Cricetulus griseus: one gene and its partners. The protein of the gene in region 4 interacts with the protein of the main gene of each other region in a biochemical or structural test. Links are inferred from orthologs where the notes say so. Each region holds a gene or a part of one and is shown on either strand. Other genes may lie near its edges. The genes, in order: histone H1.0, Rpa1, Prc1, Cdk1, Cdca5, Ezh2 and Usp16.

Region 1 (3,900 bases), on a different chromosome or scaffold from region 4:
AGCTCGCCCTCCACGATGCCGCGCAGCTGCGCCAACGCTGAGTGCGCGCGGCGGCCGGGTGACAGCGTCGCGCGCCACACGCTGCTGACCCACATCTCGCCCACGGGAAGGAATGAATGCGCCTGCCAGCCAGCTGCCTAGCTCTCCCTGTCATGTGGCGTGGGCAGGGCCCCGACAACCAATCAGAGCAATAGGAGCTTTCTTTAAGAGGCTGGTGAGGAGGTCCCGTCGGCAGGCGGAGCCTGACGCGGCTTACAGGCAACGAAAGTGGATTCATTTGTAAGTCAAAACCCAGGAGGTCCGCGCCGGGAAGTGGCTTCAGGGCATCCCCTCCCCACACACCCACCTCTCCCGAGGACCCACCACCGTACTTAGCCGACCCGCCTCCTGCCCTTCCAGCCTCTCCCCAAAGCTTCGCTTTTTCCCGGCGCTAACGTGGCGCCAGCTCTGCCCCACGTAACCCATCTACTCTCCTTCAGTTGAGGGAAACGCACCACTCAGATATTTTACCAGTTTTATTATTTTAAAAGTTTAAAATTACAACCACAGCAACTTTTCCCAGCAATTATAACACTTGTTTAAAAAGGGGGAAGGGACGCGAGTTTCCTATTTTATTAAAATAAGAGAAAGACAACTGTACAGGTTTTTTTCTCCCAGCTCCCGAAGTGAGACTAAGTACTAGTCTTAGATATGGATATATACATATACACACATGCACACAATCCTGGCTCTCTAAAGCTACCTAGCAAACTAAAATCAACTGTATTGTCTTACAGTCCACTCCCCGCCTCTCCCCCTCCTAGGCTACTTAGAAAAGATTTAAAAGTAAAAGCAGTTGGAGGGGTTTTACGTGGCAGCTGGTAAAACTGAAGCAGCACCAAGCAAAGCCACATCTTATACAGGAAGGAAAAAGAAAAGAAGAAAGTTCTCCTAGGACACAGCTCTCAACAATCGTGTGGAAAAAACCCAAGTTTCCACAGGCACACTGAGGCACTTGGCTGACTCCCCACCCTCCCCTAAGTCCACTCCCATTTAACAAGAGACTGCTGAAAAGACCCCCCCCCTTCCCCAATGGCTAGATCCTGATTGTGAGAAGCAATGGTTTCTCTAACCAGCTGTCACTTGGACCCCTTTCCCCTTTTAGACAATGGGGAGGCACTAGGGCATATGTGAAAAGAAACCCCAGGTCCCCAACTGCTCACCACCGCTGAGGGCAGCCGAGCGATTTTCCCCTCCCTGGCCAGCTAGGTGGAGTGTCATCCTCTGCTTTGCACCAAAGGTTTTGAAGCTCTCAGAAGGGATGGATGAGCAACTTACAGCCTTAAAAAGGACAAACTTCATTTCCTAGGTCCCCTCATCTAGCCAGAACTTTACCAGTTCCATTTGCCTTCACAGTAAACAAACCTCCCAACAAAAACCCACCCCAACCCTAACCCCATAAGGTTAAATATCAAATTAAGAAAAAAAGTACATCTTCATCATTACAAAGATGAGGTCTGAGGCTTTCCTTGCACAATGGGTTAAGGAAAAGGGAATCGCTCCACAATGTCTGTCTGAGGAATCCAAACTCTGTCCTTTCTGTAAAGTCAGAATAAAATGGGCAAAGGGTTGCAGATGAGATCAAGAGAGAAATGTATTTACAGAAAACAGGAGGGAGGAAGGAGTGTCACAAGCAAAGCCTTCATTGTCACTTCTTCTTGCTGGCCCTCTTGGCACTGGACTTGGCTTTGGGCTTCACAGGTTTGGCCTTCTTGGGTTTGGTTGTCTTGACCGGCTTGGCTTTGACAATCTTGGGCTTTTTGGCTTTCTTGGGCGTGGCAGCCGGCTTCTTCTTGGCCTTCTTGACAGGGGTGGCTTTGGGTTTCTTGCTTGGGGCTTTGGCGGCAGCCTTCTTGGGCTTGGCTGCCTTCTTCGGAGTGGCCACTTTCTTGACTTCCTTCTTGGTCTTCTTGAAAGCCACCGACCTCTTGGGCTCATCACCCTTGGCCAGCCTGAAAGACCCCGAGGCACCTACCCCTTTGGTTTGCTTGAGAACACCGGTGGTCACCAGGCGCTTGATGGACAACTTGATCTGGGAGTCAGCGTTCTCACCCACCTTGTAGTGGCTCTTGATATACTTTTGGATGGACTGGCGCGAGGAGCCGGCGCGGTTCTTCTCTGCCTGGATGGCAGCCACGATCATATCTGAATACTTGGGGTGGTCGGTGGACTTCTTGGAGGCCTTGGCCCGTTTGGGCTTCGCCGCAGGGGTGGACGTGGAGTTCTCGGTCATGGTGGCCGGCCTGCTCCTGCTGCTGAGAGAGCCTTCCGAAGGGCCAGTCCTCGCGGGAGGTTGGGCACGACCCGAATCGGGATCTGCTCTCCCGCTCGACTAGCAGGCCAGACGAAAGTGCGGCTGCCGGGGCCGCGGGCGACGCGTGGCTCCTGTCCTCCCCGGCGCGGGTCGCAGGCGGGATCGCGGGCTGCTCTGCGCGGCCCAGCCCCCACCGCTCGGTCGCTCGTCCGGCGCCTGGCTCTGCCTCCGCCTCCTCGGCCTCCCTTTTCCCAGCTCTGCGTCTGGCGCTCGGGCGGCGCATCCGGGTATTTAGCGGCGGCGGGCGGACCGCGGTGAGGACTGGGCTGCTGGCTGCCTGCTCCCGGCCCGGAATGGCGCCGCGCCGCCGCCATCTGTGTTTCTTCCGCCGAGCAAACCCGACCTTTGCCGGCGCTCCAGGCCCTCCTGCTGCCCGCTGTCTCTCGGAGTCCCTGCCTGGCTCCCTAGGCTTCCCCGCTGGGGACCCAGGCGCCCCAGCCGCTGTCCCCCGCGCCCGCCACGGGCCCCAAACTGCGCCGAGGAGCGCTCAGGCGCCGGCACATTTCGCCTTTGCGGGGGGCTGGCTCTGCGGGGCCCGGGAGCCCCCGGACTTGAGACCCCCCGTAGGAAAGCTCACCCCTGGGACTACCAGGGCTCCCACTCCCGACCCGCTGCGGGGTCCCCCAACCTGGCGGAACGGCGCAGAAGCGGCCCCAACTAACACACGCCGCCCCGAGCTGGGCGACTCCCAGCCGGGCCGAGTCGGGACAAGGGGGGAGGGGTCGTCTCCCCGGGGTCCGGTCACCTCTTGGGGGTCACCCGGCCACAGGCCCCCCGGCACCCCTAACCCCTCTCTGTCCCCGGGGCCTTCAAGGAAACTTTCCCTGGAAGAGTTGGAAGGGCTCTTTCAAACTTTGTCCCTTCCCCCTCTTGAGTCGCCTCTCCCCTCGACGCGCCCCCAGATCGCTGCATGGAGATTCCTGCCTGAACCCGAGCCCCCAAAGCTTCCTGGGACCCCTGGGAGACGGGGACTGGCTTCCTGGGTGCCCTACTTTCTTCAAGGACACCCCCACATCTTGCATATATCCGAACCTAAGAGTTCATTTACATGCCTTCTTAGCTTGGGAGTTTTGGGGGTGCGAAGCAGGACCACGAGGTCCACCCGGGGGGGTGGAGCCGCCTCTCCCACTGGCCTCTTGAAATTTAGGGTGTGCCAGATGGGGTGCGGTACACATCATTGGCGCTGTCCCATAGGCGCTGACCAGAGACTGTCCTCAGGGGCCCTGGGATGAGCAGAGGCTCTGTGTGCTTTGGAGATTTGGAAAAACGGGGCGAGGAGAGAGTCCTCCTTTCTCTGGTGGTGACTTAGGTATGCAGTCGATCAGGGAGCCGTGGTCGGGACCACCGCCATTTTGCTGGGAAGATGCCATGCCTTTGTTATAAAATGCATCTATCTTAACAGCCCTGCTTGGCACAGATCAATGAAGTTAGCAAGGGGCGCCACAGTCTGCAGTACGACCTGGGGTTGTTGGGAGTCGTAGTCGAAGAGATTCCCAGAGAGCCTGGGACGTCTTGTCTGCAGTCTACCTCCTCAAAATGCCAGGATT
Region 2 (3,500 bases), on a different chromosome or scaffold from region 4:
TCTGAATTCAGGGTATTCCTGGATTCTGCAGTTACTTGACCACTGAACATAAACTGAAAACACAGAGTCCTGAAAACTTGTGTGTTGGGTACAGAGGTAAAGCGGATCCACTCAGAACCCTTAACATGACTTAGTCCTCCTAGGTTACTTAGCAGAGACTACTGTTTACATGGTTGTCGTCGTGGGTACTTTGGCATTCTCTTGAACTTTATTCAGTCCAGGAGTTGTTGCTGGTCAAGACTGTGAACTTGCTGTCTGATGTTGTCAGTAAAAGTTTACTGAGAACCATCTGAGCAGTGATGGTTCTCGACTTTAATCCCAGCACTCCACAGTAGAGGCAGGTGGATCTGTGAGTACGAGGTCAGCCTGGTCTCCAGAGCAAGTTCAGGACAGCCAGGGCTACACAGAGAAGCCCTGTCTCAAAAATATATTTTATTGGATCATCCTCCATCTTCACATTGTCTGGGGTTTGTCTTGCCCCACAGCAGCAGGCTGAGGAGCGGCAGTAGAGACTGACTAAATGAGTTCTTGGGACTAAAGTTTTCCTCTGGCTTGTCACAGGAAAAGCTTCCTGATCCCTAAAAATAAGGTTAGAAATCACTGACATTGTAAAAGATTATGTGTTTGGCCAGCAAGGTGACTCAGTGTGTAAGGCTCCCTGACGCCAAGCCTGACAGCCTGAGTCCAGGCTCCAGGATCATGTGGTGAAGGAAGACCAGCAGCTCCCACAAGCTGTCTCTGGCCTGCACACATCCCATGCTGTGTGTATACATAGTGTGTATACATATGCAGAAACACATATACACACATTAGATACATACATTTTACAAATATTATGTGCTGGCAAGATGACTTAGCTGTTAAAGGCACTGGTCCTGCTGTCTTGGAAACTTGAGTTCCTGGAGCCACAGTGGAAGGAGAGGACTGACACCTGAAAGTTGTCCTCTGGCCTCCGCAAACACACCGTGGCGCAGGCTCGCCTGCATTAGTTTGCATGTGATCATCATATATGCAGAGATACACGTATGAAACAATTAATAAATAAAGAAGAATTATGTGTCCAGGTGTGGTGGCTAAGCACTCTAGAGACAGAGGCAGGCAGATCTCTGTGAGTTCAAGGCTAGCTTGTGAGACCCTGCGGGGTGGCGGGTGGGGGGGTGGGCTGAGTGCTGTGGGTTTGCATGTAGAAAACAGAGTGAACAGTTCTCCATATTCGGTCTGTGAGTGTGGGAACTAGGATACACATCACTTACCACTTGCAAGTAAGAGCAGCTTCAAGTAGCCTGTTCCAGGCCCAAGTGTAGCTTGCTGATCCCGGCCTCTGTGATACTTTTCTCCCATAGGCGGACTATTTCAGCACAGTGGCAACGGTGGTGTTCCTTCGCAAAGAGAACTGTATGTACCAGGCCTGCCCCACCCAAGACTGCAATAAGAAAGTGATTGACCAGCAGAATGGGTTATACCGCTGTGAGAAGTGTGACCGGGAATTCCCCAACTTCAAATATCGCATGATCTTGTCGGTGAGTAGAATGGTTATCGAGAAGCTTTATGGTGTTCACTGATTGGCTGACAAGGACAAGACACTGGGGGGTGCAACAGTAGAGCCCAGGTGGTTGGTAGTAAGGAACTCACAGATGCATTGTGTTGGGGAGCTTGCTGCTACTCTGTAAATAAGGAGGTAATGGCTGTGCCCTGGCTGACCTGCAGTGTTCATGCTCCTGAGAACTTGATGCCCTCGCCAATGGGCAACTTTTTTTTCATCTGTGATGCTGTGTGGTCACCGTGCTGGTGGTGCTAGCCTCCTCACTGTTGTGGAGATAAATTAATATGAAATGGCATTTCTGGAAAGCAGTAATTATAACTCTACAGCCAGTGCCTGTGTTAGTTTTCTTGTGGATACTCTGGTTTTTTTTGGGGGGGGGGGGCAGTTGACCTTAGATGAGTTGACTTGAGAGGAGTGTGCCAGAGTATGGTAACTCTTTTAAACTCTGCTTTGGTTTGATTTGATTTGACAGTAAGGAATATGTCCAAAACCTTAAAAATGTTCCTATTGAAGCCAGGTGTTGGTGACGCACACCTTTAATCCCAGCACTCGGGAGGCAGAGGCAGGTGGATCTCTGTGAGTTCGAGACCAGCCTGGTCTCCAGAGTGAGTGCCAGGATAGGCTGCAAAGCTACACAGAGAAACCCTGTCTCGAAAAACCAAAAAAAAAAAAAAAAAAAAAAAAAAAAAAAGTATTCCTATTTCCTAATGCAGAAGCCACCTACAGGGAATTTATTCTGAAGAACTAATCAGCAGTATTACAGCTGTGTGAAGTTGTTTACTCTGAAAAGTTGGGGTCAGTTTAAATGCCCTTCTGTTTGTTACTTCCTTTAGTGACTAGCCACTTTAGTGAGTAGAAGATTGTAAAGGCCTTGGACTTACAGCTTTTATGCCGAGGTTGTCGCTCAATGGCTGACACATGTCTGTCATCCTTAGCTACTTAGCAAGTTAAAGGCCAGCTGGCTAGCTTGGGCTACATGAGAGACACCCAGTCCCAGAAATGGATGAATGAATGAAACCAAAAATCAGCCAGGCCATGGTGGCGCATGTCTTTAGTCCTAGCACTTGGGAGATAGAGACAGGGGATCTCTGAGTTCAAGGCCAATGTGGTCTACAGAGTGAGTTCAGGTCAACCAGGGCTGCATAGAGAATCTGTCTCAGAAAAACAAACAAATAAAGCAAAAAGAATTTAGGGTTGGGGATGTGGGTGGTTATCAGTGAAGTAGTAATAGTGCCAGGGTGAGGATTGAACTCAGTTCTTGGGGCTCATTGGCCTCTTGGCCTAGCCGGCTCAGCAAACTTTCTTGGCTCTCACCAATGTAATTTAAGCCTTACATCCACTGGGATTTGTTTCTGTTGCTTGGTGGATTTGGTGACTGGTTAAAGGTTTTTTACATTGGCTCTGAAATTACCTGTTGCTCAGTAATGACTTAGAACCATCTCATGCAGTTCTTTAAATTCAAAATGTGGGGCGGAGTGATAGCTTAGCAGTTAAGAGAACCCAGGTTCAATTCCCAGCACCCACACTGCAGTTCACAACTATCTGAAACTCCAGTTCCAGGAAATCTGAGTCCTCACATAGACATGAATGCAGGCACAACCCCAATGTACACATGCAGTGTGTTTTAAGAGTGGTTTAAGCTCCTGCCTCCCAAGTGTAAAGACCTAAGTTCAGATCCCCAACTTCCAAGTAAAGCAACTCAGGCTTAGGCCTGGAGCTCACTGGGCATCAGCCTATCCAGTTGCTGAGCTCTGTTCACTGAGAGACCCTGTCTCAAAAGTTAATGTGGACAGAAACCGTAGAAGACACTTTATGCCAAACTCTGGCCTCCACCTGTATGCACATAATACAACACACACTGTAAATTTTTAAAAAAATGTGTAAATGTGAACTCAGTCCATGGGAGGCTGAGGCAGAGAGATTGTAAGTTGGGCCTGTTTAGACTGCACAGTAAGAT
Region 3 (3,500 bases), on a different chromosome or scaffold from region 4:
TCCTAATCAGATGCATATATTAAAGTGATTTTATGAGTTGTGAATTTCTATTCACTCAACAGTAAAAACGGTAATTTTCTAGGCAATGGGCACTCCCTGCCATATATATAAGGCCATCTACTGGGGAATCAGGAAAACTAACATTTTCTTCTAAAAAAACAAACAAACAAAAAAACTTAAGTACACATAATAGTGATTTTCTTTCTTTTTCTTTTTGAAACAGGGTTTCTCTGTGTAACCCTAGCCCTAGTTGTCTGTACTGGAATTCACTCAATAGACCAGGCTGGCCTCAAACTCAAGAAATCCACCTACCTCTGCCTCCCAAGAGCTGGGATTAAAGGTGTGTGCTACCACTACTCCCTGCCTGAGGTTCATGTTTTCATGCATGTACGTGAATTTTGTTCATATTCAACCTGCTACTCTCTTACCACCTTCCCACGGCTGCGGATTCCCTTCCTCTTGCCAACTATCCCATCTACATTTTTTTTTTTTTGAGGGGGTTGACTCAAAGAGCTTTCAATTAGGGTTGCTTACAGGATCATAGGTAAAGGGTTATTTATATAGGAGCATGGCAACTTACCAATAGCCACACTACTTAAGAGAAAAGTCGCTCCCCCTCAAAAACCATTGTCAATAGATCTTTAGGGGAGGGGGAAGACCTGGGGGAAGACAGTTATAAGTTGAGCAGGATGTCATAAGCCTTTATTTCCAGCATTTGGGGGCAGACAAACCATCTGGAGCTACAGAGTGAGACCTTGTTTTGTTTTTGGTTTTGTTTTCACTGTAACAGTCCTGGCTGTCCTGGAACTCACTTTGTAGACCAGGCCTGCCTCTGCCTCCCAAGTGCTGGAAGTGAAGGCATATACCACCACATCCGGGTGAGACTTTATTTTTTATTTTTTAATTACAATGGAATTGAATATAGAATATGTGGAGGGGATGCAAGGAGGCCTGCACTCATGAATTAGTGTGGTGCCTTTACTAGCCCACTAACTTCTATACTTACAACGAGCACAAGGGAAGGCCTGTGTTAACTTCCCAGCATTGCCAGAAAATGCAAAATGTTGGGCTGGGGATGTAAGCTGAATGATCAAGCATGTCTGAGACCCTGGTTCAATCCTCAACACCATAAAAAAATAAAAAATAAAAAATTAACTTTTCATTTTTGTTATTTTCTAACATATACATAGTAATGAGTACGTATTATAAATTAGGTGTGCTACTCAAAACTAGGGGCAGGCAATCAGTAGTATTCTTGACATAGTGCCTGATTGGGACAGCCTATAAAGAACTGCAGGGAGCACTGACCTCATTTATTCCATCTTAAATGTGAATGTGTTAACCAGGGAGTCTACATTTACGTTTCTGCCCATGACTTCTCTCTGCTTGCAAGCAGAGAGTTGGTAAGGACTACCACAGGAACTAGCTGTATGTACGCCTCAGTTTTTTCCACCGAGTCTAACTTCTCTATTTGTAACGCTTTTTCCCTTCACTTTGAAGCTCAGTCTAGAGAAGAGCCTATGACAATCCTTGCCAAGTGCCAGGACTACAGGCCTGGGCGACCACACCTGGTGTGCTGTCATGATGCTTGATTTCACTCTAGAGAAATACAGAGGAGGTTACCTCAAACTCCAGGAAGAGTTTCCAGCTCTCTTCCCACTTCTGGACACCTTCAAATAGTTCTTTATGAACTTCATAATAGTTTCTTAACCGTATAATCTCAGCGTCATGAAGATGAAGCAGGTTTTCTGTGTAGTCCTCTGTAACATCAAAATTCAGTAGTGGGTTTTTTGGTTTTAGGTTTTGTTGTCTTTTTTACACAAATTCCTTTAGTATAGTGATTCTCAACCTGTGGGTCTAGACCTCTTGTGGTCACATATAAGATATCCTGCATATCAGATATTTATATTAGGGTACATAATGGCAAAATTACAGTTATGAAGTAGCAACAAAATAATTTTATGGTTGGGGGTCACAGCATTAGGAAGGTTGAGAACAACTGTTCTTATGTTTGGTATTCCAAGTAACTAACCTTACACTGTGAAAAGTTTTCTACCTTATAATTTAAAATGACATAGGAATAAAGTAAAAATAAACCTTAAAAAAGAAAAGAGAAAGGGTGAGAGGAATAAAAGCCAGCCACAGTAGTTGGGATGGATTAAAATAGTCTAAATTGATGAACATTCTCCAAAATGTGTTGTCTCTTTCTTCTTTTTTTCACTCTTCCTTTATGCTTTGCACAGCTGATAGATTGGGCTACATAAAATATCTAAACATATATTTTTTTGTTAGGACATTTCACTTCTCTGTTCAGTTTAAGACAGTCTGGAACTCTTCTTCTTGACTCCCTTGACCCAAGCATTTATCTGCTATACCTCTGGTTTAGTTGCTCAAAACTTTGTTTTAGTGCCTCCCCCCTTTTCTTTTCTTTTGTTTTTTTTTTTTTTTGAGGCAGGGTTTCTCTGTAGCTTTGAAGTCTGTCCTGGAACTCATTCGTAGACTAGACTGGCCTTGAACTCAGAGATCTGCCTGCCTCCCCAGTGCTGACATTAAAGGCACCACCATCCAGATTAGTGCCCTTTTCGTATGCCATGAAAATTAAGCGAGGGAATATTTTTAAGGCTTGGCTCTATCTGCTCAGAAGTAGAAATACAGAACTTCCTGGTGAGTGTCTGAGCTTATGAAAGACCTGTGAAGGTGGCCACATGAAGATCATACTAACCAGAATAGTAAGGGGCAAAAGCCTGTCTCTGTTCTTTGCTATAAAAACACTGGTCCCAGAACTGAGCCAGCTCCACTCGAATTGTCTCAATCACTTGCTTTATGTTTTGCATTTTCAGTTCTTCTAAGCGATCCACTTCTAATTGCAGCTATAGAAAAAAAGGACAAAGGTTATAGCCATACTTTCATATTCACTTGCTTACCTTTCCACATTTAAATAAAATTACAACACAGAGCTATGCAAGTAAATCAACAACACACCTTCTAACATTATAAAAGCCAGAAATCTAAGGAATGTACCCACAAAATGCACCAAAATACAACTTGTCTTTGCTGGCCCAAGACAGTAGGCAGTAAGGACATTGGACTTGCAAGAAGAGCAGTATTTACCCAGCGCCCGTTGGTTTTCTTACCGCATTCCTGACTTTGGCTTTTGACCCAGTCATAATTGCAGCCACAGGTTCTCTCTCTTCTTCAGGTATTTGTAACCTATCCCAGAGCTCTCGGATCTGAGCACGGAGCCCTTCGCACTCTGCTTCATTTTTTGATTTTTTAATTTCCAGCTGTAGCAAGGAAAGGCAGTGGTTAGACCAAAATCGTGAAAACTAGCCTTCTATTCTCTCAAAGGAAAATGCCTGGGCCTATCAGGAGAGAAAGCACTTTTTTAAGATCCATATATATTTATATTCATATCTTCTCTATGTGGCACAGGATGGCTTTTACTTAGCTTCCAGAGTGCTAGGATTATAGTTTAACTGTGTGCTATCACACTTTTACAT
Region 4 (3,500 bases):
ATTAATTCTCAGCACCATGTCTGGAATTCTTTGAACAGGCTATTCTCTTTTATCTCCTCCTAGCATTACAATCAACAAAAATAAATGTGACTCTATCCCACTGCACCCAGAAACTAAACAAACATAAAAATATCCACATTAAGCCGGGTGGTGGTGGTGCACGCCTTTAATCCCAGAACTCGGGAGGCAGAGACACTCGGATCTCTGTGAGTTCAGACTAGTCTGGTCTACAAGAGCTAGTTCCAGGACAGCCTCCAAAGCTACAGAGAAACCCTGTCTCAAAAAAAAAAAAAAAAAAAAAAAAATCCACAATGGGGAGAATTGTTTCAATTCAGACATAGCCCACCTGACTATATTTGGATGGCGAAGTTCTTTTAATAGGGAAATTTCCCGGATGGCGGTACTGGGCACTCCTTCTTCCTCACTTTCAAGTCTGATTTTCTTCATGGCCACTATCTGGCCAGTAGTCCTATGTCTACCCTTATACACCACACCATAAGTACCTGAAATGAAGCAAAGAGATTTTTTTTAAGTGAATCCTTAAGGTGTCACATGATAGATGTGCCTGCTGTGGCCAGACAGGAGGTAAACTCACATACACTTAAACTCTCGCTACTTCCAAAAAGAAATTGAAGGTAACTACAACCTAACATACACATGGTTTAGGACTAAAATTCATGAAGTCACCCAAGTCTCCCACAGTTAAGCTTCCTTCATGAGGCAGCATACAAGTTGAAATTCACCTGTCAAATATCCTGCATGCAATTAAAACACTACGTAAACTGAAGCTGGGAAAACAGTACCAAGAGGAGGCACTGGAACACATTCAGGATGACTTATGCTTTCCACACTTTAACACATCTCAAAATGTAGTCAACAGTCCTCAGCCAGCAGAGTAGAGACAAATACCACACCACACATTTTTACTAAACCCAATAAAGCTGCTATTGCTACAGGAGGAAGCCTCCCTCCCGTTGGGAATGATGAAAACACTAACATGAGTATCACATGAACAGCAATGGCAGTAAGAAAAGACACAGTGGGGGTGGCAGGCACAGCAAGATGGACTAGTCACCTGTGCTGCATACACTTCCCCAGATGTTACAGGCGTCTTTTAAACTCAGGGTCCAGTTTAGAGAGGTACTAAACTCCCTAGCTATATATAAACTTTGTTAAACAGCTTTTCGTGGCATCAGTATGACTTCAGAAATGACAAGAACACCAGGTCTGGTGACACATAGCTGTGATCATAGCTATTTGAAAGGCTAAGGCAGGAAAATTCCAGGTCAGAGGCAAGCCTGGACAATTTGGTGAGACCTGTCCCAAAAGACAAAAGATCCCAGCATGGTGTGCATGTCTGTAATCCTGTCACCTGGGAAGCTGAGGCAAGGTTAGATGCTGTCTAAAAAACCCAAAGGATTAGAGCAGCAATAGCTTTTATTGGCTCTAACAATCTGTCCCAGTGATCAACTGTTTAGAATATTAAGCAGTTTGCTCAGCAGCAAGTTGACATCCACATAAGCTTTGTTCTAGCATTTTTTTAAAATTAGAGGAGCTTGTTTTCCTAAACAATCCAGTCATTTTAATGATATTATTTCAAATAAAATCCTTACTATTTTGACCAAATGCTAGGTGACTTTGAATAATGAAAATATCCCAGGTAAAAAGGCCTACATTCTGTCTGTGAAGACATAGGAAATCCGTACACTCACAGGTTCCTTAAGGGTGTATATCTGCCTTGTATGAAGCACACAGCAGCTAAGCCATTAGCAAGAGGACACTGTCTGAACAGTCTGAATTAGCAAGGTATATAACAATCCAATAAAAAATGATTAATTCTGAATTCCTACAGCGTTTTCTGTTTCCTCCCAGTGGACTACTTCATTCCTTGGTAAAGTGCAGAACTAACTCATGATGATTAGCAGCCAATACTCAGTAAACATTGACTTAGACAACACAGAACCATTCTGAGTGTCTCAACTCCTGGCTCTTCTCAATGAACGTCTGAATAGGGCTAAACAAAGCACAACCCCTTTACTTGTTAATCACTGAACACTATTCATGAAATAAACAGTGGATACTCAGAAATTCATGTTTTAGATAAAGTACTTTAAATCATTAAATAATTTGGTGGGGTATCAAACAAGGCTGGAGAGATGTCAAATTATTTCAACAAGTCAGTTTTTCAGCACAGAATACACAGAACCCAAGACAGCAGGCACAGTGGAGCAGACAAGCCTCTAGGCCAGAGAAGAGTTCAGGAAAGCAGGTGAAAGTGCTCCATCAAGTACCTGAGCAGCTCCTGTGAGAGACATCTGGACCCTAGCCTTCGTGGAGCCTAAACCTGGAGCAACTAAAAGGAATACAAAGACTGATGCAAAGGAAATGGTCAAATCCCTTCAACTTGAACAGCAGTTCTTGATATGTGGGGTCCAGACTCTTTGGGAGTTGAATAGCCCTTTCATAGGGGTCACCTAAGACTATCAGAAAACAAGTATTTTTATATCACAGTTCATAACAGTAGCAAAATTACAAGTAGCAACAAAAAAAAATTTATGCTGGGGAGGGGGGGTCACCACAACATGAGGAACTGTACTAAAGGGTCCCAACATTAGGAAGGCTGAGAGCCACCGATCTAGACAGAACAAGCTGAAAAGAGAAGCCAGCACTGGATGGTTTTAGAAAGCCCTATCTGAAGGATTAAAGAAATGCAACTGGAGAGGTGGGTGGCAGCAGGTGAGGCTGGTGAGGGGGAGATTACCATGTAAGAAGACAGCTGTGGAGGTGATGATCCCATTGATACAGAAAACCCCAGACTCCCACTTGAACACTACCTGGGCCATTCGTGGCTTACTAAATTCCCTGCCTTGGTTTTAATCCCCTGTGTAAGTGGGGCCTCTGAACACAGATGAAAATGAAAAGTCCTCAACAGAACCCACATAGAAACAAGCTCCACCGTTTGCTCCTTGAGAGCTAAGAATGACGTCTTGACTCCTAGGTAGAAATATGGAAATTCTGTTGCAGGAAGAGAAAAAAAAGAAGAAATAGGAAAGGGTTATTTTCATTCCTCATTTATGCCACATGGGCCTAAGCATTGTTCAAAATACTACAGAAAGGAATTGAACAACACATAAAAGCCACTATGTTTAAGTCATTCTTGCCTGTAGTAACCCCATAGAAAATCATTCATCTTAGCTTGTCAATTACTGCATCCAGCTTACATAATAGAATCTAGTATTTAGAATTAATTGAATAAGACTAAAATGTAATGTGAATTACTTTAATTCTACCTCCCTAACTGACACCCCCAAACACACATACAAGCTATCAGTAGTGTTTCTGAAACACACACATCTGGTGTGTTCAGGACCAGAAGTGAGATGAGCTCAGAAGTTTGTGAGGCCCTATGGTTATCAGCAAAGAATCAGGGATAATTTAAATTCTCTTGAACAAGAGTTACAAGTGAACCACTGTTCCTGTGATAAACCCAGGCAAAAGCA
Region 5 (3,025 bases), on a different chromosome or scaffold from region 4:
TGGGTCTTGTTGGCCAGTTGAGCTGAGATGATATTCTAGGTTCAGGAAGGGCTCTGGAGGAAATTTAAAAGCCTAAATTTCAGCAGAGGATGAGCTGGGACGCTCACATCTGCACAACAGGCCAAGGAATCACATCTTTGATCTGCTTCTCAGGGGTGCCCAAACTAGGAAACCCTAGTTTGGAGGCACAAGGCATCAGCTGCTGGGTGGCATCTAGGAACAGCTATTATACCTGAGCCACTGGCTCCTATGATGGATGGAGCCTTAGGAAAAGAGGGAGAGGGATGAAGTGTAGTCAATTCCATAAACCTCCCCTGGGACAGGGGGGCTTGGGCCTTCATTTCAGGAAACCCTAGTTTGGAGGCACAAGGCATCAGTCATTGGAGGGAGGCCAGGTTGGCAAATTTTAAGAGGAACAGCCCTGGTGACACAGTCCAATGACATGGCATCCAGGGCTTCACACCAGTGGCTCTGTCTTTGACCAAATAAAAAGCAGTCTATAAACAAAACTCTTTAAAAGTTTATTTGACATCAAACCTTTCCCCTGGGCTGTACATTAGTTCCTCAAAGACAGACGGGTCTGTAGTGATGGCAGCAATCAGAAGGTCCAGCTCACGGTCCACAGGGACCAGTGAGGACAAATTCTTCAGATGTGCTCCGCTCAAAACCATCCTGGTGTACAGGTGCTTGCTTGCAACTCTCATTCCATGCAGCTTCTTCTCCAATGAACCTGCATATGTTGGAAGTCCAATGCCCTTTGAAACCATATCTTCTACTATCATCCAGAGGAGATGGTAGGCAGGAAGCACTTCCGCAGAGACCATGAGACATCTACTTTTGTTCCCAGCAACCCCCACCCCCGGGAATGGTCTCGTGTGAAAGTGTAATAGTCAAGCTCACAGCAAAAGCTGTCATCAGTGCTACAGCTGTATGGCTCCTGAGAAAAAAGCCACATCCCAGAGCCAAGACTGTGCAGTTCATTTTGAAAGAAACAGATGTGGGTGAGGAAAGGGTGACCAGAGACCACAAATCTCAAGTTGGTGGCATCTGGAGCCCATACCATGAAGTATACTTACTTTGCCCTAGACATCAGTACCTCATTCACCAATGTGTCAACAGCAGAACACAGACATGAACAGCTCCTACTTAACAGTCACTCGTGTTAAAAAAACAAACAAAAAAAACTATGACTACCTCCTTCTTTCACATCCCAGACTCCATATTCAGATTTCCTCAAGAGTTTAACTGTCTCTAGCCTGTGAGCTCCCTATCAGACTCTAGGACTCCAAGCCACCAACAGAGGGCAACACCAGAGAGATAACCCACGATGAACTTGTTTCTGACAGTGCAGGATTGTAACAGAATTAGCTTCTCATCCCCAATACTGTGAAGAAAGTCCAGGGTAACTAGCCACAATATAACAAGGGGCCAGCTACACCTTTCTGGGTAACAAGTCCTGCTCTACTCAAAAGTCAATATGTACAGGGAGAGGGGAGAGCCTAGCCAGGTGTACCCCCACTTTATCTCATTCAATCAGAAGATCAAACTGTTCAGCAGCTTCAAACTCAGCATTCATGGCCTTAGCCCACTCATCCAGCTCCGATTTCTGGTAGAAAGAAATGAGGGCATTTGAGTGGGGAAGCGGCCACATTGCCCAGAGAATGTTACTTATCCACACCTCAGGAATTGCCTTCCCTCAAAACCTGGAGTCCTGCCCCCCTCCCCCCAACCAATACGGTGCATCTGTGGGAGAGACCCCGCCCCTTACTCACTAGGATCTCCGGCACCTTCTTCCTTCGCTTCTCTTTCATGACTGGAGGAGAGATTCCAGGAAGCGTTGTGTCTGGAATCAAGGGCTTCGAAGATACTTTGGGGATCTCAATTAACTTTGAACTCACGACAGGTGAGACTTGGGGCAAGTCTTCAAGTCCCTCAAAGCCAAAGAAGGATCGGCGGCCAGGGGTGGAGGTTGAGGCAGCATTGAGCCTCTCAAGCCGACTGTATGATCGCCTGACTTTCTGGGACATTTCCAAGTCTCTGGTGTCCAGTTCTCTTTCCTCAGAGTTAGACTCAACATTCTGAGTATACAGCACTGGGGTGCTGGTGGGGGTACCAGGGACACTACAGGTCTTGAAGAGGTCCTCCTTTGTGGGTACCTTGAGAGGAGGGTTGTTTTCTTTTTCCAAGATAAAAGAGATCTGTATCAGGACAGGCGAGAGAACTCTTGTCAGCTCGGGGATTCAGGATGGAAAGACTGCCCACAAAGCACAGGATTTCTACGTTTCTTGTGTATTTTATGGTTGACCTTGTGCATGCTAGACAAACACTGTGCTGAGGAGTTCCATCCCCAGTCCAGGACAGATTTTAAGCAACAAACAGTCATAGAGCACATGCCCAGAAATGCATAAGCCCTGGGTTCTACCTCCACTGTTGGAAAGAAAAAAAGAGATAATCACTACTGTTTTGGAGAAGCTGACTTAGGACAAGATTCACTACATTTGCTGCCACCCTCAAATGTACCTGGCATATAGCAACAATTTGCTACTTGACATAAAGTTCCAGCATACCTAAACTGGCTTGACAGCCTCCTAATTGTTTTGCCTGCTTCCAGGGTCATCTGCCATATAGCTTCTAAAGATTTTTATAAGATGTTCATTTGACCAATAAATATCTATTAGTGACCTGTCCCACACCAGGGAATGTTCTGGGCACCGGGAATATATCAGGGAAAACTTAAAACAAAACAAAACACTGGCACCTCAGCACTTTCACTGTGGCACTGAAAACATGAGGAAAACTTGGGTGGGGGTGGGTTAAAAAGCAGAACAAGCTGGGCGGTGGTGGCCAACGCCTATGATCCCAGTACTCGGGAGGCAGAGGCAGGCAGATCTCTGTGAGTTCAAGACCAGCCTGGTCCACAAGAGCTAGTTCCAGGACAGCCTCCAAAGACACAGAGAAACCGTCTCAAAAAACCAAAAAAAAAAAGGTTCTTTTGGGACTGGAGAGATAGCTAAGAGAGCACTGA
Region 6 (3,500 bases), about 46 Mb from region 4:
AGCAGAAAGAAAAATCATTTTTTTAAAGTTTCTAAAAGGCTTCCTTTGGATTTGATTTTTTTTTTATGTTACCTTACCTAAAAACACAACAAAAAAAGATCTAACCCATAGAAATCTTTACTTACAGAAAGAACTAAGCTCGTTAATACAATTCAGGTATATCACAGGTTATTATATTAGTTTGAATTAAATATAAAAATCTCTACCAGTGCCCAGAAAAGTTTTCCTACAATAAACTAATGTAAATTGTACATGGGCTTATTGTGTGCATGAATATCTATCTGTACACTTACTCTACATGCAATAACCCTTTATAACACATAGTACAAGAATAGGGTGTGGGGTGTGGAAGAGAGGAATGGAGATTGTGCTTGAAGTGTCACACAAGCTGTAAACTATGGAATGGCTCATCACACTCGGTAATTCCATTTAGAAAAAAACAAGATGATGAATTATATGCAAGACTGCCCCATATTTTAAAAAAAATTCTCACTTACTTTTCTTTTAGTTCTTCTGCTGTTCCCTTATCTGGAAACATTGAGGAAATGGCTTCAAAAATTTTATCAGCAGGAAATTTCCGAGGAGGGCAACTTTCTTTATCTAAACAGTGAATTGTGATGGGGGGGGGGGGTGTGAAAGAAACAAGTTTAAATCTCATTTTTCTCTTTATCACACAGTATCTCAACAACACTGATTTCCTAAGGCACTGTCAACTTCGCTTCACTTTTGGGGGGCTGGTGGAATAATCTTTGGGACAAGGTCTCTTTCTATGTAGTTCTAGTTGGAATTCAACTAAGTACAGGTTGATGTCAAACCTTTGGTGACTATTATTATTTTTAGTGTGTGCACCACCGTGCATGTGTAAAGATCAGAGGACAACTTTTGTGAGTTAGTACAATGCTCTTCTACAGTTAAATCCAGCAATCAAACTCAAGTCATCAAGATGTGCTCAGCAAGCACTCTTATCCAGTGACAGTCCACTTTTCTATTCTACTGTCTCTGGCTCTGACTAGCTTGGGGATTTTATTGGGGACGCTTGCCTAGTGTAGCCCAAGATGGCATAAAACTCACTATGTAGCTGAGGACAACCTTGAACTTCTGACTCTCCTGCCTTTACTCTCAAGTGCTGAGATTATAGGCATGTGCCAACAAACCCTGTATCATTTACTTCTAATGTAAAGCCTGTGGAATATTTGAAGAACAAACATAAAATTCAAATATGAGATGTTTTAAGAGCAGTGGAAGACAGAACCCCCAGATTTTCATTATTTGCAACTAATAGCTTTGTGTCAGCAATGATACTAATACACTTTCAGATCTGCCAGTAGCTTGACAGAATTAGCGATCATCCAGTTGACCCCTAAGATGTATTTCTGTTATAAAGAATACGTGCCTCTTGATATTGCAATTCTCCCCTAAATTCTACTAAGCTGCCTTAATACTAGGCTTGCTGAGTAGAGGACAGCATTTATAGGCTCTGCCATAGGATGGACTGGTTTCTAATAATCCTTAACAAGTGCAGATGCAATAACAGCACAGCTCCTGAGACAGACCTAGGTCATCGTCTTAGGGCTCAGTGTTCTACTTCTTCCCAGTATTACAGTCTTCAGTAAGTTCTTTAGCCTTTAGCCTCTCTAAACTCATTCCCAATATATAATGGATCTGATAGCAACACCGACATTGCAGAGCTGTGGAAGGATAAGTGAGCTGGTGCGTATGAAGTAAGCATGCAATGTACATAATATGTGATATTGTTATAAAGATATTGCAATAATTGACCAGCAAAGCCCAGCATGCAATGTACATAATATGTGATATTATTATAAAGATATTGCAATAATTGATCAGCAAAGCCCAGCATGCAATGTACATAATATGTGATATTACTATAAAGATATTGCAATAATTGATCAGCAAAGCCCAAAAAGGATTATGTTCCTCTGCCAGGCAAAGCAAACAAAGAAGCTACAGTGGACAATGAAATCCTGCAGAGAATATATTTGATTATACTACTAAGACATATTTAACAAAAGGAGAGGGAAATTACATTCTACTCATAATGGGATTTTTTCTTACATTTACATATATGACTGTATATATGCCACAGTGTACAGGAATGTGAAGATAAGAGGGTAACTTAGGAGACTGTCAGTTCTTTTCCTCCACAGTGTAAGTCTCAGGGATCAAACTCAATTCAATCAGGCTTGATGGTTTTACTCACTGAGCCATTCACTAGGCTCCACACGTTTTTTAAAGAATGATGTAGGCTCATACAAAAAAAAAAAAAAAACCCTAGTATTAAACATACCATCTTGACTATCCTCTAGATCTTTCTGTTTTTCTTCTCTTTCATCAGGATCATCTCCATCATCATCATCGTCATCATCATTATATTGACCAAGAGCATTTACCAACTCCACAAAAATTTCATCATTTATAAATCCACATTCTAAAAGTCAGTCAGAAACAGGGGAAAGTGTTATGACAAAAGTTTATGTTTGTGTTTCCTAATCTGGAAGAACAGCCAGGGCCCATCAGCACAGCACTGTAACTAACCTGAGGGGCAGACACAGTCAGTCAAGATCATTTCACAGCCAGCAAAGACAACAGCAATGATCATTGAGTGTCTGTTGTTTTCTCAGGAATCACCCCCTCTCCAGATGGTCCAGGACCCTTTATTCTCCTAATCTTCTAAGACCTGTGGCTTTAGCCTCCTCCCAATCTGTGCCACTGACTGGCCACTTCAAACCTTGTTTCCTACTATAATATGACCACACCCCCTTCTCTCAGATACCAAGAACCTCCTGAACACAAGAAACTTGAATCCAGGAATCTCATGACTCAACTTCAGGCGCTAAGGCAGCCCTGAGGAAAGGTGTTTTTGAGCAGGGAGGCTTTCTGAAGCACACATCCCATAAATAGAACTTTAAGCCTAGTTAATTTTATTATTTAAAGCTTACCAAATACACACACTCCGTTCCTATAAAATTTCCATGTTGCTGCTACAGTTCATAACTATTTACTGATGGTTACCAAGTGGCAAACAAGTAAGATCCGCTAATGGAAAAACTAAAAAAAAAAAAAAAAACCACCAAAAATGTAGGCCTGTCAGCCCAGGCTAGTCCTTTATAGTCAAACACAAAAATTAATTTTATCACAAAAAAGTTTGTTTTTTGTTTGTTTGTTTGTTTTACAAACCCTATGTTAAGAACCCAAGCATTGGGGCTGGAGAGATGGCTCAGAGGTTAAGAGCACTGACTGCTCTTCCAGAGGTCCTGAGTTCAATTCCCAGCAACCACATGGTGACTCACAGCCATCCGTTATGAGATCTGGTGCCCTCTTCTGTTGTGCAGATATACATGGAAGCAGAATGTTGTATATATAATAAATAAATAAAACCTTTAAAAAAAAAAAAAAGAACCCAAGCATCTTGAATCTTTAACAAAGCCCCCAAGAGAATATACATATAACTCACCTCTGTCTCCATGCACTTTCCCATC
Region 7 (3,500 bases), on a different chromosome or scaffold from region 4:
CAGGAAACATGTTGCTTTAAATTGGAATGAAATATGTGTCTATTCTGTTGGTTCTGATGCTCTCTGCATCTTACTGATGCACTGAAAGCACAAGCAAGTGGATACTCACTTTTTACAGACCTGAGAAAAGAGCTCTTTAGGAGTCACAATTCGCTTTTTGTTCTCTTGCATCTCATTAAGAAACTGGCTCATGGCTAAAGTAAGAGGACCTGGAGGCTCAAGGTTTACTTCTAAAGGTTCCTAAAAATAGAAATAAAAATTATGTCACTCAAATGTTAAGAGTCATTTACTTACCAAAATGTAACAAGCCAATGAATGATATTGATGGAGCTGCCAAATGTAAACATCCAAAATTTATACCATATAGAGATACAGAAACTAGCTGTTCAAAAATTTAGCTCTGGGCCAGGAAAAGAGCTCAGTGATTAAAGTACTTGCTGAGCATGCCTGACAACCCGAGTTCAACCCCCAGAAATTGTTGAAGGTGGAAGGTTAAGAATCTACTCCATGAAGTTATCCTCTGACCTCCACATGCACAGCTTAGACATACACACCACACACACACTCACACACACATACCTTACATGGACACCTCACACATACACAACACACACACACACACACACACACACACACACACACACACACACACACCTCATACAAATGATAATAATACATTGGGGGGGGGGTTGAGACAGGGTTTCTCTGTGTAGCTTTGGAGCCTATCCTGGCACTCGCTCTTGTATACCAGGCTGGCCTCGAACTCACAGAGATCTGCCTGCCATGTGCCACCACTGCCCGGCTGATAATTATTTTTAATGGAAAACTGAGCTTTATCTTAGTTTTGAATGGATAGGAACTTATGACCTAAGAATTAAGAAAGCAAAGACAAAATATATCTAGTAACTGTAGAGAAAGTAAAATTTATCTGACTACATAGCACTTAGGTCACACTGAAAATGTCAAAAACAACAGTGCAGGCCTGAGCTTCACAATTATCAACATTCTTAAGATGGTGGTAGAAAACATACACACTCACACCAAATATGGCAAGTTCATAGCAAGCAAGCAGAAAGTTCTTTTAACAGTTATTAGTTCTAACTGTTTATCTTAGACTGAAATAAAACCAAAGAAAAAAGTCAGAGATGAGTTTTAATTCCTCAAAACAACTTGGAACATGAATATTTACAAAAAAGATAATTGTAAGACAATTTTTATTTATTTATTTTTAACATTTATTTTGTGTATAGAAGTAGGTATATATGCTGTGCTGTGGCAAGTGTGGAAGTCAGAAAAAAAAACCTGGGAGTGAGTTCTTACCTTGTACAACGTCAGGCCTAAGGGTGGACTCAGATCATCAAGTGGGAGTGAGTTCTCATCCCCCACCATGTCAGTCTCAAGGGCCTGTCAGCCAGTGACTTTAACTGCCACCAAGGGGTCTTCCTGGGTCAATTGGAAAATCTAGCTTAGCATGGCAGCACACACTCCAATCCCAGAACTGGGAAGGCTAAAACAGAGGCCTGCCAAGATTTGCGGTACAAGGGGACTGTCTTCAAGTGAGTAAGAAATGGGTGTGGTGGCGCACCCCTCTAATCCCAGCACTTGGGAGGCAGAGGCAGGTGGGGTTCTCTGTGAGTTCAACGCCAGCCTGGTCTCTGTGAGCTCCAAAGTGAGACCCTGTCTCAAAAATAAAAATTATAAAGTTAAATTGGACCAAATACATACTGTTAGTGCCAGATCAGGTGGCTCTATTTTCACAATTGTTCCAGACATTTTCACTTCTTTTAGTAGTTCTCTAAGCACTGGTGTTTGTGACAAATTCTACAATGCAGGATGGAAACAAAATGAGCAGTTACTTACATAACCAAGTCATTCAAACAGTTAAGTGTTTATTCTACCAAAACTGAAAACCACAACCAACAGTGACTCTTCATTACTTCTCTACCTAGAGAGGAAACATTACAACACACTCTTCGCCCCCTCTCCATGGCTCATGTCACTTCTGCTATGGCTGGAATGTAAGGACACACTGGTAAGCACTGGCAGTAATAGAGTTTTAAGCAATTACTCTGAATAGACAGGAATTTACACAGGGAGGATATAGCCTGAGGGAAGAAGAGAACTTTGTCACCTGCATAACGGCATTGAAGAAACAAGTGTTTCCCAAGTTACTGAGTCCTTTCACAATCATCTGGGAAGCAGAGTCCATGGGAATGTTTTCTTTAGCCATGTTTTCCGTTTTCTCTTTCTCTTGTTCATTTTTACTGTCTTTTTCCAATTTTTTATTTTCAAGTTCAATATGTCCATTATCTTTCTCTGCTTTAAAAAGGAGAAAAAGAAGATTTGGCAAAGTATAGAATATGTCCATGCCAAATGTAAAGCTCATTTAGAATACTGTACTAGAATTTTTTATTTTAACTACTATCAATTACTGGAATCAATTTGGCTGATATTTAATAAGTATTGGTAAACTCACAGAAGTGATAAACATTCAGAACTGATGATATAAGGCAAGTCTGAAAGTGTAAAAGAAGCATATGCTTTGGTATAAAATTGTCCCTTTAGTACATAAATATTCTTCATACTGGAATGTATATGACTATGTAGAATTAGGACACACAACAACAATGTAAACGTATTATGTTCAAATGAATTCTACTAACCAAAAATCAATTCTGGTATAAATAACTCTGTCTTGAAAAAGATAATTGTTAACACAAGTATCTAAAGAATAAACTTAAAGCAAACGCTGCACACCATGCCAATTCATTTGCTTCTCAGAAAGTATCTAAGAACCTGACTGTTAGAAAATGCCACAAAAGGAGCTAGGGATGTAAGTTAGAAGGGTATCCGCTGCCAAGCATACATGAAGCCTAGGGTTTGATTCCTAGTACCTCAAAAAACCAAAGAGTGGTGTTGCATGTCTGTAAGCCATGTGATAACTTGAGAGGTGAAGACAGGAGGGTCAAAAGCTCAGTGTCATCCTTGACTACATGTAAGGTCAGTAAGGGCTACAGAGGACTCTACCTCTAGCCCGACATGGTGGCACACGCCTTTCATCCTAGCACTTGGGAGGCAGAGTCAGGTGTACCTAGGTAAATTCCAGGCTAGCCAGGGTACAAGAGACCAGAGTCTCCAAAACAACAGAAGACAACCTCTGTCTAAAAACCAGTGTGTGTGCATGTGTGTTCATTTTATTTAATAGAGAGACTGAAAATTTTCTTTTTCAAAATATACCACTAAATACAGCATAATTCAGTCTATAGGCATTCCCTGGAAGCCTGCTTCCCACACCGGCCAAGAAATGAGGTGGGCAATCTTGACTCTCCTTCCTACCCTCCAATTCTGATCCCCTAATCTTGTCCCCAGCTTTGTGGGAGACCACCACCCTGGCCTCTCTGCCCCCGTCCCCAGGGTCTAGGGAGACCTTCTACAGCCTCCCTCCCTCGTCTCAGCCTGATAACAGCAGGCGGCACTTAGGCAAATGGCCAAGACAGCCA

Evidence for each region.
Region 1: of the proteins of Cdk1 (region 4) and histone H1.0, one has a biochemical effect on the other in vitro, tested with the Homo sapiens proteins (3 studies listed by BioGRID). The link is inferred for Cricetulus griseus from reciprocal best matches to the Homo sapiens genes CDK1 and H1-0.
Region 2: of the proteins of Cdk1 (region 4) and Rpa1, one has a biochemical effect on the other in vitro, tested with the Homo sapiens proteins (2 studies listed by BioGRID). The link is inferred for Cricetulus griseus from reciprocal best matches to the Homo sapiens genes CDK1 and RPA1.
Region 3: of the proteins of Cdk1 (region 4) and Prc1, one has a biochemical effect on the other in vitro, tested with the Homo sapiens proteins (2 studies listed by BioGRID). The link is inferred for Cricetulus griseus from reciprocal best matches to the Homo sapiens genes CDK1 and PRC1.
Region 5: of the proteins of Cdk1 (region 4) and Cdca5, one has a biochemical effect on the other in vitro, tested with the Homo sapiens proteins (2 studies listed by BioGRID). The link is inferred for Cricetulus griseus from reciprocal best matches to the Homo sapiens genes CDK1 and CDCA5.
Region 6: of the proteins of Cdk1 (region 4) and Ezh2, one has a biochemical effect on the other in vitro, tested with the Homo sapiens proteins (5 studies listed by BioGRID). The link is inferred for Cricetulus griseus from reciprocal best matches to the Homo sapiens genes CDK1 and EZH2.
Region 7: of the proteins of Cdk1 (region 4) and Usp16, one has a biochemical effect on the other in vitro, tested with the Homo sapiens proteins (3 studies listed by BioGRID). The link is inferred for Cricetulus griseus from reciprocal best matches to the Homo sapiens genes CDK1 and USP16.

Annotation. Positions count from the first base shown.
Region 1 is NC_048595.1:376,142,442-376,146,341, reverse strand, and holds histone H1.0, read right to left. Parts: upstream 2,537-3,900; 5' UTR 2,273-2,536; coding exon 1,688-2,272; 3' UTR 501-1,687; downstream 1-500. Other genes in the region: Gcat (2-amino-3-ketobutyrate coenzyme A ligase, mitochondrial), read right to left, coding at 1-95. UniProt on the Homo sapiens protein: Histones H1 are necessary for the condensation of nucleosome chains into higher-order structures. The histones H1.0 are found in cells that are in terminal stages of differentiation or that have low rates of cell division.
Region 2 is NC_048600.1:88,756,965-88,760,464, reverse strand, and holds part of Rpa1 (replication protein A 70 kDa DNA-binding subunit), read left to right. Parts: intron 1-1,343; coding exon 1,344-1,520; intron 1,521-3,500. UniProt on the Homo sapiens protein: As part of the heterotrimeric replication protein A complex (RPA/RP-A), binds and stabilizes single-stranded DNA intermediates that form during DNA replication or upon DNA stress.
Region 3 is NC_048596.1:117,299,059-117,302,558, forward strand, and holds part of Prc1 (protein regulator of cytokinesis 1), read right to left. Parts: intron 3,285-3,500; coding exon 3,135-3,284; intron 2,871-3,134; coding exon 2,723-2,870; intron 1,761-2,722; coding exon 1,624-1,760; intron 1-1,623. UniProt on the Homo sapiens protein: Key regulator of cytokinesis that cross-links antiparrallel microtubules at an average distance of 35 nM. Essential for controlling the spatiotemporal formation of the midzone and successful cytokinesis.
Region 4 is NW_023276806.1:268,279,703-268,283,202, reverse strand, and holds part of Cdk1 (cyclin-dependent kinase 1), read right to left. Parts: intron 3,018-3,500; exon of another isoform or gene 2,940-3,017; intron 504-2,939; coding exon 347-503; intron 1-346. UniProt on the Homo sapiens protein: Plays a key role in the control of the eukaryotic cell cycle by modulating the centrosome cycle as well as mitotic onset; promotes G2-M transition via association with multiple interphase cyclins.
Region 5 is NC_048596.1:53,258,711-53,261,735, forward strand, and holds the end of Cdca5 (sororin), read right to left. Parts: intron 2,199-3,025; coding exon 1,773-2,198; intron 1,607-1,772; coding exon 1,526-1,606; 3' UTR 731-1,525; coding exon of another isoform or gene 701-730; 3' UTR 501-700; downstream 1-500. UniProt on the Homo sapiens protein: Regulator of sister chromatid cohesion in mitosis stabilizing cohesin complex association with chromatin. May antagonize the action of WAPL which stimulates cohesin dissociation from chromatin.
Region 6 is NW_023276806.1:222,396,696-222,400,195, reverse strand, and holds part of Ezh2 (histone-lysine N-methyltransferase EZH2), read right to left. Parts: coding exon 3,476-3,500; intron 2,450-3,475; coding exon 2,309-2,449; intron 601-2,308; coding exon 498-600; intron 1-497. UniProt on the Homo sapiens protein: Polycomb group (PcG) protein. Catalytic subunit of the PRC2/EED-EZH2 complex, which methylates 'Lys-9' (H3K9me) and 'Lys-27' (H3K27me) of histone H3, leading to transcriptional repression of the affected target gene.
Region 7 is NC_048597.1:9,874,356-9,877,855, forward strand, and holds part of Usp16 (ubiquitin carboxyl-terminal hydrolase 16), read right to left. Parts: intron 2,320-3,500; coding exon 2,132-2,319; intron 1,822-2,131; coding exon 1,726-1,821; intron 241-1,725; coding exon 110-240; intron 1-109. UniProt on the Homo sapiens protein: Specifically deubiquitinates 'Lys-120' of histone H2A (H2AK119Ub), a specific tag for epigenetic transcriptional repression, thereby acting as a coactivator.